Linked DNA regions of Drosophila melanogaster. The gene in region 1 interacts genetically with each later gene. Each region holds a gene or a part of one and is shown on either strand. Other genes may lie near its edges.

Region 1 (7,336 bases):
AGAGTAGGTCCCGAAGGCTTAAGATGCATTGGCTGAGTAAAAAGTAGAATAAATACTAAAGTGATTTGTTCGTTAACTATAAACATACAATCTCTCGAGGGGGTTTTCCCCCTTCTCGGTCAAACATGTGATTTAGAAACAGCAGATTATCTGAATAAAATAGTTTTGGCTGCGGCGATTCACCCGAAAACTTTGCACCCTGCTCTTGTATGCGCTCCATCTCAACTTTATAGCGAAGCTTGTGAATCATATGTTTCCAAAACCCAGATGGCGAGTCCGCTTTCATTTCATCGGCAATCGCATCCCAGATTCTGTCTTTGAGCTCGAAATTGAAGAAATCTTTGTTGCGCTGATTCCACAAGCATTTGTGATCTTCATACAATGCGATTAACTTTAATTTAGCCTTGGCGGTCTTCATGAACTCCGGGCTAGGTGAGAAGGTGATGGGGGTCTTTCGCAAAGAAGTGGCGTCTGTATAAGTGTAGGAGCCTGTGCTGGAGTCAAAGGACGTTGTACTCTGTTCCTGACGCTTAAGTTTTGCAGCCAGTAGGGCTCGTCTTCTTCCCAACGATGGCTTGTCGGAGAGTGAAAAGAAATCCGTGCTGGAAGCAACGGAAGTTTTACTTTGAGCTCTGCGTTTCATAGTCCTAGAATTGGATTTACTAATAATTTATATTTGATTGACAATTCGACATATTTTCCAAAAGCTATGGGTGAATAATTAAGTAATCTGCCCCAGTAGATTCTATTATTGATATTATGCTTTATTGTGCAAATTGTTGTGTCTTACGTCTTATAATTGATAAAATTATGTTAATAATGAAGAAAATATAGAGGACACGGGATGAATTGACGGCACTTATTGTCCGCTTTTTTGTTTTAACTGTTGTTTATTAAATGAAAGAATCGGTTTAATACATATTACTTGAGTTTTATTCGCACTTAAAACAGTTTCATAGTAGAGGCAATCTGTAGAGCATTTGGACAAATTCAAAAAGAACAAAAATTGAAGGAAACGCATGCATAGCCAGAATTAAAAATAAAATTGTGTATAATTATATATATAAAACTCTTACAATTTCTCGCTATCGTTCGGCTACATAATTCACTTTTAAAGCTGCACACTCGATATAGTCAAAATATAATATAAACAATTTGAAAAGAATTGAATAACAATACCATAATTCGATTGCTTCCGTTGTGAATTTGAGTGTGTTCACCTACAGGAAGAAGGTTGGGATCAGGCTTCTTGACTGGGTGTCTTAAGTAGGTCCAGGACCATTTACTGGGCCAGCTCCTTCATGCGGTTGAGAGCGCTGCCGGCCTTGAACCAGCCGATCTGTAGGTCGTTCAGGGTGTGGTTAAGCTTGATCCTCTCGACCTTGTCGCCATTCTTGATTTCGGCATCTACGGGCTTTCCAGGCGCAAGGGATTTCAGGTTGAGCAGGGAGATTTTGCTCGTGGGCTGGATCTGTTGAAGTACAAAGATATGGTTAATATGACCTTAGTCACAGAAGCTAAGAGTCGCAAACCTTATCGTAATCAGCGGGATTGGCGAAGGTGAGAGGCAGAAGACCCTGTTTCTTCAGGTTGGTCTCGTGGATACGGGCGAAGGACTTGACGATAATGGCACGACCACCAAGGTGACGGGGCTCCAAAGCGGCATGCTCGCGGGACGAACCCTCGCCGTAGTTCTCATCGCCGACGGCCACCCACTTGATGCCGTTGGCCTTGTAGTCGCGGGCTACGTCGGGAACTCCTCCCCAGCTACCGTTGCGTTGGTTCTTGATGTTGTTCATCTCGTTGTTTTCGTAGTTGGTGGCTCCGATAAACATGTTGTTGGAGATGTTGTCCAAATGGCCACGGTACTTCAGCCAGGGTCCGGCAGCGGAGATGTGGTCAGTGGTGCACTTTCCCTTAACCTTGATCAGCACAGTCAGATCGGTCAGATCCTGGCCGTTCCACTTGTCAAAAGGCTCCAGCAGCTGCAGACGCGTCGACTTGGGGTCGACAGCCACCTTGACATTTTCGCCGCTCTGTGGGATTTCCATATTGATTCTTAAGAACAATATAAATCAGTTTGGGAATTTAAATGTACTTACGGGTGGGGGAGCAGTGTAGGTGTCCTGGCCGGGATCGAAACCCTTGGCGGGCAGCTCGTCGCCGAAGGGAGCCTTGAGCTTGAACTTCTTGCCATCAGCACCAGTAAGCTCGTCGGTCAGCGGGTTGAAGTCCAGACGACCGGCGATGGACAGAGCGGTGACCAACTCGGGACTAGTGACAAAGCAATGGGTGGCCGGGTTAGCGTCGTTCCTGCCAGTAAAGTTTCGGTTGTAGGAGGTGACAATGGTGTTCTTGTCGCCCTTCTTAACGTCCTTACGATCCCACTGTCCAATGCAGGGACCGCAAGCGTTGGCCAGAACGGTACCGCCGAACTTGTCGAACACCTCAGAGATGCCGTCGCGCTCGATGGTGGCACGGATCTGCTCTGATCCGGGAGTCACATTGAAAGGAATCTTCGACTTGAGGCCATGGCTCATGGCATCCTTGGCGATGCTGGCGCAGCGACCCATGTCCTCATACGAAGAGTTGGTGCAAGAGCCAATAAGACCTACACGGATGTCCATAGGGTACCCGTTCTTCTTCGAGTTCTCGCCTAGCTTGCTGATGGGATGGCCCAAATCGGGAGTGAATGGTCCGTTAACATGGGGCTCCAGGGTGTCTAGGTTGATTTCAATCAGCTCATCGTACTCGCAGTTCTTGTCAGCGGACAGAATCTTGGCCTGGTACTTCTGGGCTTCGGAGGCAATGCCAGCACGGCCTGTCGATTTCAGGTAATCAGCCATGCGCTGGTTGAAGGGGAACAGAGAGGTGGTAGCTCCGATCTCAGCACCCATGTTGCAGATGGTGGCCATGCCTGTACAAGAGATAGAGTCAACACCCTTGCCGTGATACTCAATGATGGCACCGGTGCCTCCCTTGACGGTCAGGATATCGGCAACCTTCAGGATAACATCCTTGGGCGAGGTCCAGCCGCTGATCTTGCCAGTCAAATTGACACCAATCACCTTGGGGCACTTCAGCTCCCAGGGGATGTCGGCCATCACATCGACGGCATCAGCACCACCAACGCCAATGCACAGGCCACCCAAGCCACCACCGTTGGGGGTGTGTGAGTCAGTACCAATCATCAGCAGGCCGGGGAAAGCGTAGTTCTCCAGAATGATCTGATGGATGATTCCGCTGCCTGGCTTCCAGAAGCCCAATCCGTACTTTGCACAGGTGCTGGCCAAGAAATCGTACACTTCCTTGTTCAGGTCCTTGGCACGGGCTAAATCCTTGGGTCCACCAATCTGGGCCTCGATTAAATGATCACAGTGAACAGTGGAGGGCACAGCCACCTTTTTCAGTCCGGAGGAGATAAACTGAAGCAGAGCCATCTGTGCAGTGGCATCCTGCATAGCCACACGATCGGGGCGAAGACGCAGGTACGAAGTACCGCGCACGATGTCCTGGTTTGCGGGATCGTCCAGATGCGAGTACAGCACCTTCTCGGAGAGAGTCAGTGGGCGGTTCAAGCGACCGCGCACCACTTCCAGGCGCTTGTTCAGCTTCTCGTACGGCAGGTAGACGTCCGAGTCGAACTTGGACAGAGCCACTTTGGAGGCGGTGTAGCAGGAGGCGTGGAACTGACGCACCACTGTGGCTTCGGACGCAACATGCTTGCCCAGTCGACACACCTGGAAAGCAGATAAGAAGTCGAACTGTTAAATATGGTGAAGTGGTACATTTAGCAATCAAGATCAAGTAATTAACACAATGTGATTCTCTAGTTTATTTGCACTTCGCACACTGTGAGATTTTATTTATTCGCTTGGTAGCCCAATAAACACTTGATTATCATGTCAAGAGGACGAGTCCTCGTCACTTTAATTAAATTGATTCCTCTATCAGGAAATGATAATTCCCAAAGATATTCTGACAAGAGTACAATCATGTGGGGACCATATCTGTGAAAATTCTTCTTTACTGTACATTTAATCTTGCATACATATATAACAAATGTAAAACATTATTATCACCGCTTTCACTTGTTTTAAGATCAATATATTGCTAAAGCTAATAAATTTTAATCGTCTTGAAATTTTTGAATAGCCAAAAATAATCCATTGATCCATTTACCGCTTCAGAGTGAAATTTTTCCAAATATTTTTTTGAGATTAGTAAAATGATTGAAAGTTTACATTTAACAATCAAAGTATTTTAAGTGCTAGCCAAAGTGCTTTAAGGTTCTTCGAACTGCAGAATAAAAAAATAAAAAGTAGCTGGAAATATAGTTTGTTTGTAAGCCTTTCAAATTGTTACAATATTCTACAGAACACTCCAATTAGAAGAACCACGTGACGACACGACTGTATGTACATACACGCAAATCGAAACAATTGCAATGACAATTACGTCAAATAGGTCGTTAACTTATGGGCAGAGTACAGTGAAACCTTTCTCGAAGCTGACGTGGAAAAACCCCACTTGAAAGGCAAAACTCCTCCAATGCGCGTGATACTCAAGTTAAACGGCGCAACTTTTTTAAGCTATATTTAGTGCTGGCATTATCAAAGTGTAAGTAAACCTGTCACAGATAAGACGGTCCTCCGCCACAAGATATATGCTCTAGAGGGTGTTCGCCTCCTGGTTAAATAACTGGACCCCGGCGATTATGTAAATGCAACTATGCCAACCATCGAACCCCCACGAATCGCTGTTAATTGTTGAGAGCTAACGATTTCGCATGGTTCACTGCTGCGTATTCAGTATACATGTTTGGGATGCAGGGCCTGTAGAATCACAAACACTGCGAACTCGGTTACCTAACCACTTCGAATTTTATGATTTTAGGTTAGAAAACGCTGTGCGAAAAATTTGCTATTTTTCGCTGCCCACATCCTGCTGGGTGTGTAAGAAATGGGCAATGATTTTTTGTAAACTTTCGCGCAGTGCTCTGTCCAGTTGTCTTTATCGCAGCTTGGAATTTCGGGGTTCCATTCACAGATTCTATACGTAAACGTATATATAGCCGTGGTTATATATTGGCCGACTGGAGGCACAGGCTCCGCTCTAGAACCTACCTGTGCCTGGGCGTTCATCAATCTCGCAGCCATGGTCGCGTCCTGATTAAGCGATACTCGAAATAAACCCGACGAAATTGATATTGCAGCAAATGCTTCGAAGCCGTCAAAATTTTCAGCCCTCTCAGCCGGAAGATTTTAAGACAGACTAAATTCTTTACCACGGCGACCAGTGTTAGCTGGCGTCACGCATACGCGTCAGCAATGTTCCGCCGGCTTGTTTCCCGCCAAAATTGGGTCGTTAAATAAATAGGACCATAGAAAGTTTATCAGTTTTGAATTAAAGCGATAAACATTTATTAACTTCAAGAGAATTAATGGACTCTATGGCGTTAAAACTTAAATCGAAGTAAATGCTGAAATAATGCACTGACGACAACTTATTTTTCTGAGCAGGGACTTGGATTAATTTATCCTTTAGCTTTTTTTTAGCAGCCAGCGCAGACGACTACCGCGCTGTGCTGTCCAACACTGCCCATTTGTTTGCGTGGGCGGGTGATACTTTCCCACAACTGCGCGAATAATAAATAGGCTCGGCTGTGAAAAATGTTTGACAATGGCCAGTCAGCATTAGTCCTGATCCCCTTGCCATGTCCGAGCGTCGCGTAGTGCATGAGATACCCGGAGAGTACCAGCCAGTGCCCAGAGCACCGGAAGAGCCAACCCCTTTGACCACATCGTGTTGCCGGCGTCCCAATTGCGGCCTAGGGCTCCAGGATGAGCGAAATATCTGTTCCTGCAAGCACGGCTACATCATACCAGTGCTTATACTCTTCGTTCTGGTGATGATTGTGCTTCTGTTGCCTTGGGAGACCTACCATCGAAATGAAAACGGAAACAGCCCCGTTCCGGTGGAAAAGCCGTTACCATGTCAACTCGAACTGGTGGAGAGCTTGCCCTTGGGGTTGAACTACAGCCAATGGCAAAGCCACCCCCAACTGAGTAGCACCTTTGATGCCTGGCAGCTACTACTAGGCAGGGCCAAGGCATCGTTGGACATCGTTTCTCCGCACTGGACACTGCGCGGCTTGGACGTCAACGATAGCAGCACCGGGCCTGGAGATCAACTCTTTCAGCAGCTACTGTCGAATGGAGATGCCGGCAGACCCAAGCTGCGCGTGCGGATTGTGGTTAATCGCAGCCACGATAGCCTGTGGCATGCTGATGCCCGTATCTTGGCTAACTACGGAGCAGCCGACGTCGTGGGCATTAATTTTCTGCACTCAAAACTGTGGTTAGTGGACGGGGAGCACTTCTACTTGGGCACAGCTAGCATGGACTGGCGATCACTGACGCAACGCAAGGAACTAGGTGTGCTGGCCAGAAATTGTCCCCATCTTGCTCTAGATCTGGGAAAGATCTTCAAGGCGTATTGGTACCTGGGCAGCAATGAAGTGCCAAAGAGCTGGCCGTGGATATACCACACGCACATCAATCAAAGAAGACCGCTTTTGCTAAACATCAACAAAAAACATACAATGAGAGCTTATTTATCCACATCACCACCAGAGTTGATCGCTACTGGAAGGACCCGAGAGCTAGATGCCATTTTAGAGGCTATCGACAAGGCCACAGACGTTATATACCTCTCCTTAATGGAGTACTCTCCTCGGCTAAGACGGAGTAACAAATTGGAGTACTGGCCGGTCATAGACAATGCCCTGCGTAGAGCTGCCTTGGAACGCGGTGTGGCCATTAAGGTGCTTATTTCATGGTGGAAGTATTCGGATCCCAGCGAGGATCACTTCTTGAGGTCCCTTCAAGCGCTCGACAAAATTACGGAAGGAGTAGATATACAAATGGTAATGAGCTTATAAGTATTGGCAATTTTATTAACAATTTCTTTGCTCTTGCAGCGACGTTTTGTTGTACCCACCACAAATGAACTGGAGAGGATTTCCGGCGGTAGAGTTAACTGCAACTCGTACTTAGTCACCGATAGGGTTGCCTTTATAGGCACCTCCAGTTTTTCGGGAGAGCATTTTACTTACTCAGCTGGCATTGGATTAGTACTCCAGGACATGGAATACAACAATAATAGTCTCCGTACAGATTTAATGGCAATTTTTCTGCGGGACTGGTTTAGTCCCTATGCATTGCCACTGAAACCAATTTTACGAATTTGAATTACGCTTTTAAACCTGCCGGCATTTTGCAACACCGCCACCAGCTGTTCATGTCATAACAAACGCAAGACCTAACCTCAAATT
Region 2 (3,732 bases), on another chromosome or scaffold:
TTATCTTCAAGATGGCTCCTCGAGAGAAAGTTGAATTTGTGCTGGTGCGCCTGGCCTTTGTTCCTTACATGTAAGCAATTAATATAAATACCCAAGAGATCGCCAGAAACTCATTCATTCCTGTCGCAGAAATCCTCTGTACCCGCGCATCAGCTACCAGATCAGAAAGCACGCTCCCACCGGATCGATTATCCAAGTGCGCGATTGGTTCGAGCATGTGATGATGAGGGAGCGCTCCAAGCTGCCCCCAGATGCTAACATACGCTACGCAGAGTGGCGCATCATCACCGGCGACATGGAGCTGTTTCAGGTGCAGGGCGTCCGCTTCGACAAGATCATGCTGGTGCTGGGCGAAGAAAACATCTCGTGGGTCTTCTATCAGAACACGCCACTTTTCCGCCGTATCGAGGGCAGCGCCTGCTTCCCTGTTAGCTACTGCGGATGCTGCCTGAACAACCAGTACCTGGATATTATGGCCAAAATCAAGCAAACTGTGTCGAGGAAAAAGATACGATGAAATAAATATATCGAGTACTAATGGAAACAAGAGTTTATATTAAGATGAACGCTTTCAAATTTCACTAGGCGCTGGCAGCTGTCTACTCCAGCCAGTGGAAGCGGGAACCGTACTTTGCTGGCGGCTTGGGGTAATCCTCGGGCAAACCGGGGGTGGCATCGGGATAGGAGACCTTCTCCTCCTTCTTGGGTGCTTCCCGAGCTGATTGGATGACCTGAAAACAGAAGTGATTAGGAGAGGTCTAAATAAAGCATGCCGAGAAATTACCTTGGCCCTCGAGAAGTATCCATAGGAGGGACGATCCCAGTCGAAGTTATCTTTGATACACTTGTCGAACACTCCCTGGGTCTTGCGGCAACTAAAGTATGGATGGACATTGGTATAGCATGATTGGAATATTCAACATTTACGGAGTGCTTACTGTGAAAAAGCCATAGTACCGCTGCTCTTATCCAGGCAGGTGGCGTACTGCGTGAACTCCTCATGGCAGGTCTTCTTCACCTTGCGGAAGAAGTCCAGGGCGCAGCTGGTCACGGCTTTGCCCTCCGCCAAACAGGCTCGCGGGTCATCCAGCTCCTGCCGGCACAGCATAAACTCCTGAAATTACACGAAGGAAAAGGTAAACAAACGGGGAAGGTGCTTTTTGAGGTTAGGTTATATAACTAAGCCGCTCGGATTTTAAAGAGGCAGCGGCTCCCAGCTTCACTTTAAGGCGCTTTTCACCTAAGCATTACTATCAGGAGGATTCCCCTGCAATCTGGATGTACTAACATTATTGGCCTGCTCGCATTGCTTGCCCAAATGGAAGGCGCCTGCCCGTAAGGCCGCCGACGATAGATTTAGCTCCTGGACGTTCAGCTCCGACTCCTCGGGCAGTGTTGTGTTGTTGGTGATGACCATAATAGCGTTGCAGTCCTGTGCGATCAACCAAAAACCTGAAAGGCTATGAAATTCAATAAAAAACAAAATAATTGTAGGATTTTGTTAATTTTACGTTTGCTTACAACACAACAGCTGATTTAGATCCAGGGCTGCTGAGACGTAGCTGTCAATAACAATTTATATCGATAGTGTAGCCGTTTCACAAAGTCATCGATAACAGGCTCACAATTTAAATTAAAATGATTTCTTTAATCTTATACATCTGTCTATTTTATAGTGCTGCAGCTGATCGCAATTTAAAAGTAGTTAAGTATGAGAATTCGGTTGACACCATTGTTAAGAACCTCATCGACAACTGGCAGTCGCCGCTAGTTTACCTGAAAAGCCGCGGCTACCTGCCGAAGGATGCGCCCGAAATGGATTTCCAGCAGCTGCAAGGGAACTTGGACCCCAAATTGTCGTTAAACGACTTAGTTGAGCTGAACAAGGATTCCAAGCGGGAGGCGGAAACCAAAAGCCAAGACAATTCCATTGGGCAGATTGATCCGCGGGCAGTCCGATCGCTACAAGATCCCAAGGACCTCGAGCTGAAGAAGATGTTCCAAACGCTGTTCTCTTCGAACGACAAGACTGCCTCCGAGGAGATCAAATCCAAGCTGGGAGTGTCCTGGGATATGAATGCTTTAAAGACATCCGCCCGTTTGGGTGCCAAGAAATATCTCGAGAAGTTCAACAACAAGCGAAATAAGGGGATGTCTCTCTTGCCAATTGAATCCTCAGATGGGACACTTACTAACGAGGCATCTCTAAATTTTTCCTCACTTATACCGCATGCCTTGGAAAAGAAAAGCAACGATTCTGTGAGAAAAACCACTATCAGTAAGCCAAGCTTTCTGAAGGGTGTGGCCAAGATTCTGAGCAATCCAGAAATTAGGTATAGAGACTGGGATTCCAAGCCTGCACAAGAAATCCTTCCGAAGGCCGCGGGCGCATAGTTTTCAAATTCATTGTTGATGATTAAATGTTCTTTTAGTAGCAAAATGGGTTAACAAAATCGCAATCAATTAGTTGGGGGAGGCTGGCCTGCTTCTGGTGCCAGAAGCAGACTCGATTGAGTAGCCGCAAATTTCATATTCATGGCTGTCTGGTTAATCTCAGTCATTTCATTAGCAGATGCGATTGAAACCCGTTTAGTGGGCTAGGCAGCTTCGGAGTATAGTATAAAAGGCCGACGGGCATTGTTTCATTTCAAGAAGCTGCTCCAAAATGCTGAAATATGTGAGTTTAATCGGATTTCAAACAGACTATTGGATAATCAGCCACCTCTCAATTTCAGAGCCTTATCTTTGCCCTTTTCGTCGTTTTGGCCAGCTGCAGTGAGGAGGATCTGCAGGCGCAACTTCTGAAGTCGGAGAACCGCCAGAACCTGGATGGAGCTGGGCAGTTCCAGCATGAGATCACGGTCAGCAATGGGATCCAAGTGAAAGCTCAAGGCAATGTGAACGGCATCCAGGGCGAATACTTCCTTCCCGGCGAAGATGGCAAGCAAATTCGCGTGACTTACACCGCAGATGCAACCGGCTTCCATCCGAAGGTTGAAGAGTGACCGAGTGACTTTGATGTTATGTTAATCTTAACTTATAAAACGGCGGTTTTTTCCATAAAATGAGTGGTGAGGTAATGTCTTGTTGTTCCAATAAAACGTTCCCCTGGTAGAACTCATATTGAGAGCTGTTGGGCTACAGTTCATAGAGCGCTTCAGCATCTTCATCCAAGGGTCTGTCCAATTAGACATTGCGCTTACAGAGCCCCTGAATGGGTCATGTGGAATGATGATGATTTCCTCATCCCACACTGCTGCACAAATAAAAGGTTACCGAACAGCACTCAGCTTTATAATCAATGCCGACAGGCGGCATAAAATACGCATTGTCATCCGCATAATAAGGAACCCAGCGGAAATGGGGCAAAGTGGGGGAACTCACCGGAAGGGAAGCCATTGGGGCTATTGTTAAACGGCAAATTCAAATATGGACTCGCCCATTGTGCGGGGCCATTGGAATATGTTACGGAAATGACAACTTAAATGGGTGCTGCTCCCATTCGGCCCATTCGGCCCATTTCCCATCCGCGTATCCTTGAAAAGCACAATTCTGCATGATGGTTTTATAAATGCAATTGGCTTTATAACAAACAGATATTTAGACAGGAGGGGCTATCTCACAGCTTGGCACTGCCCGCTGGCACTCCGCTCCCGTTGCGCGTGAGTTCCATATCCACCGACGGCTGGTTCACCAATTTCCGGACCACATCGAACTTGGGGTTGTTCTTAT

Evidence for each region.
Region 2: of mAcon1 (region 1) and ND-19, changing one suppresses a phenotype caused by changing the other (phenotypic suppression), as found in Drosophila melanogaster (one study listed by BioGRID).

The regions. Positions count from the first base shown.
Region 1 is NT_033779.5:21,166,595-21,173,930, reverse strand, and holds mAcon1 (mitochondrial aconitase 1), read right to left. Parts: upstream 5,362-7,336; 5' UTR 5,160-5,361; coding exon 5,127-5,159; intron 3,741-5,126; coding exon 2,103-3,740; intron 2,037-2,102; coding exon 1,533-2,036; intron 1,472-1,532; coding exon 1,283-1,471; 3' UTR 747-1,282; downstream 1-746. Other genes in the region: CG31627 (uncharacterized protein), read right to left, coding at 1-32, 89-643; CG43345 (uncharacterized protein), read left to right, coding at 5,717-6,928, 6,983-7,252.
Region 2 is NT_033778.4:24,662,236-24,665,967, reverse strand, and holds ND-19 (NADH dehydrogenase (ubiquinone) 19 kDa subunit), read right to left. Parts: upstream 1,571-3,732; 5' UTR 1,522-1,570; exon of another isoform or gene 1,512-1,521; intron 1,461-1,511; exon of another isoform or gene 1,453-1,460; 5' UTR 1,418-1,452; coding exon 1,289-1,417; intron 1,115-1,288; coding exon 939-1,114; intron 876-938; coding exon 785-875; intron 732-784; coding exon 600-731; 3' UTR 529-599; downstream 1-528. Other genes in the region: CG34214 (uncharacterized protein), read left to right, coding at 12-70, 130-517; CG30161 (uncharacterized protein), read left to right, coding at 1,639-2,394; Cpr60D (cuticular protein 60D), read left to right, coding at 2,666-2,677, 2,736-3,005; CG3663 (uncharacterized protein), read right to left, coding at 3,620-3,732.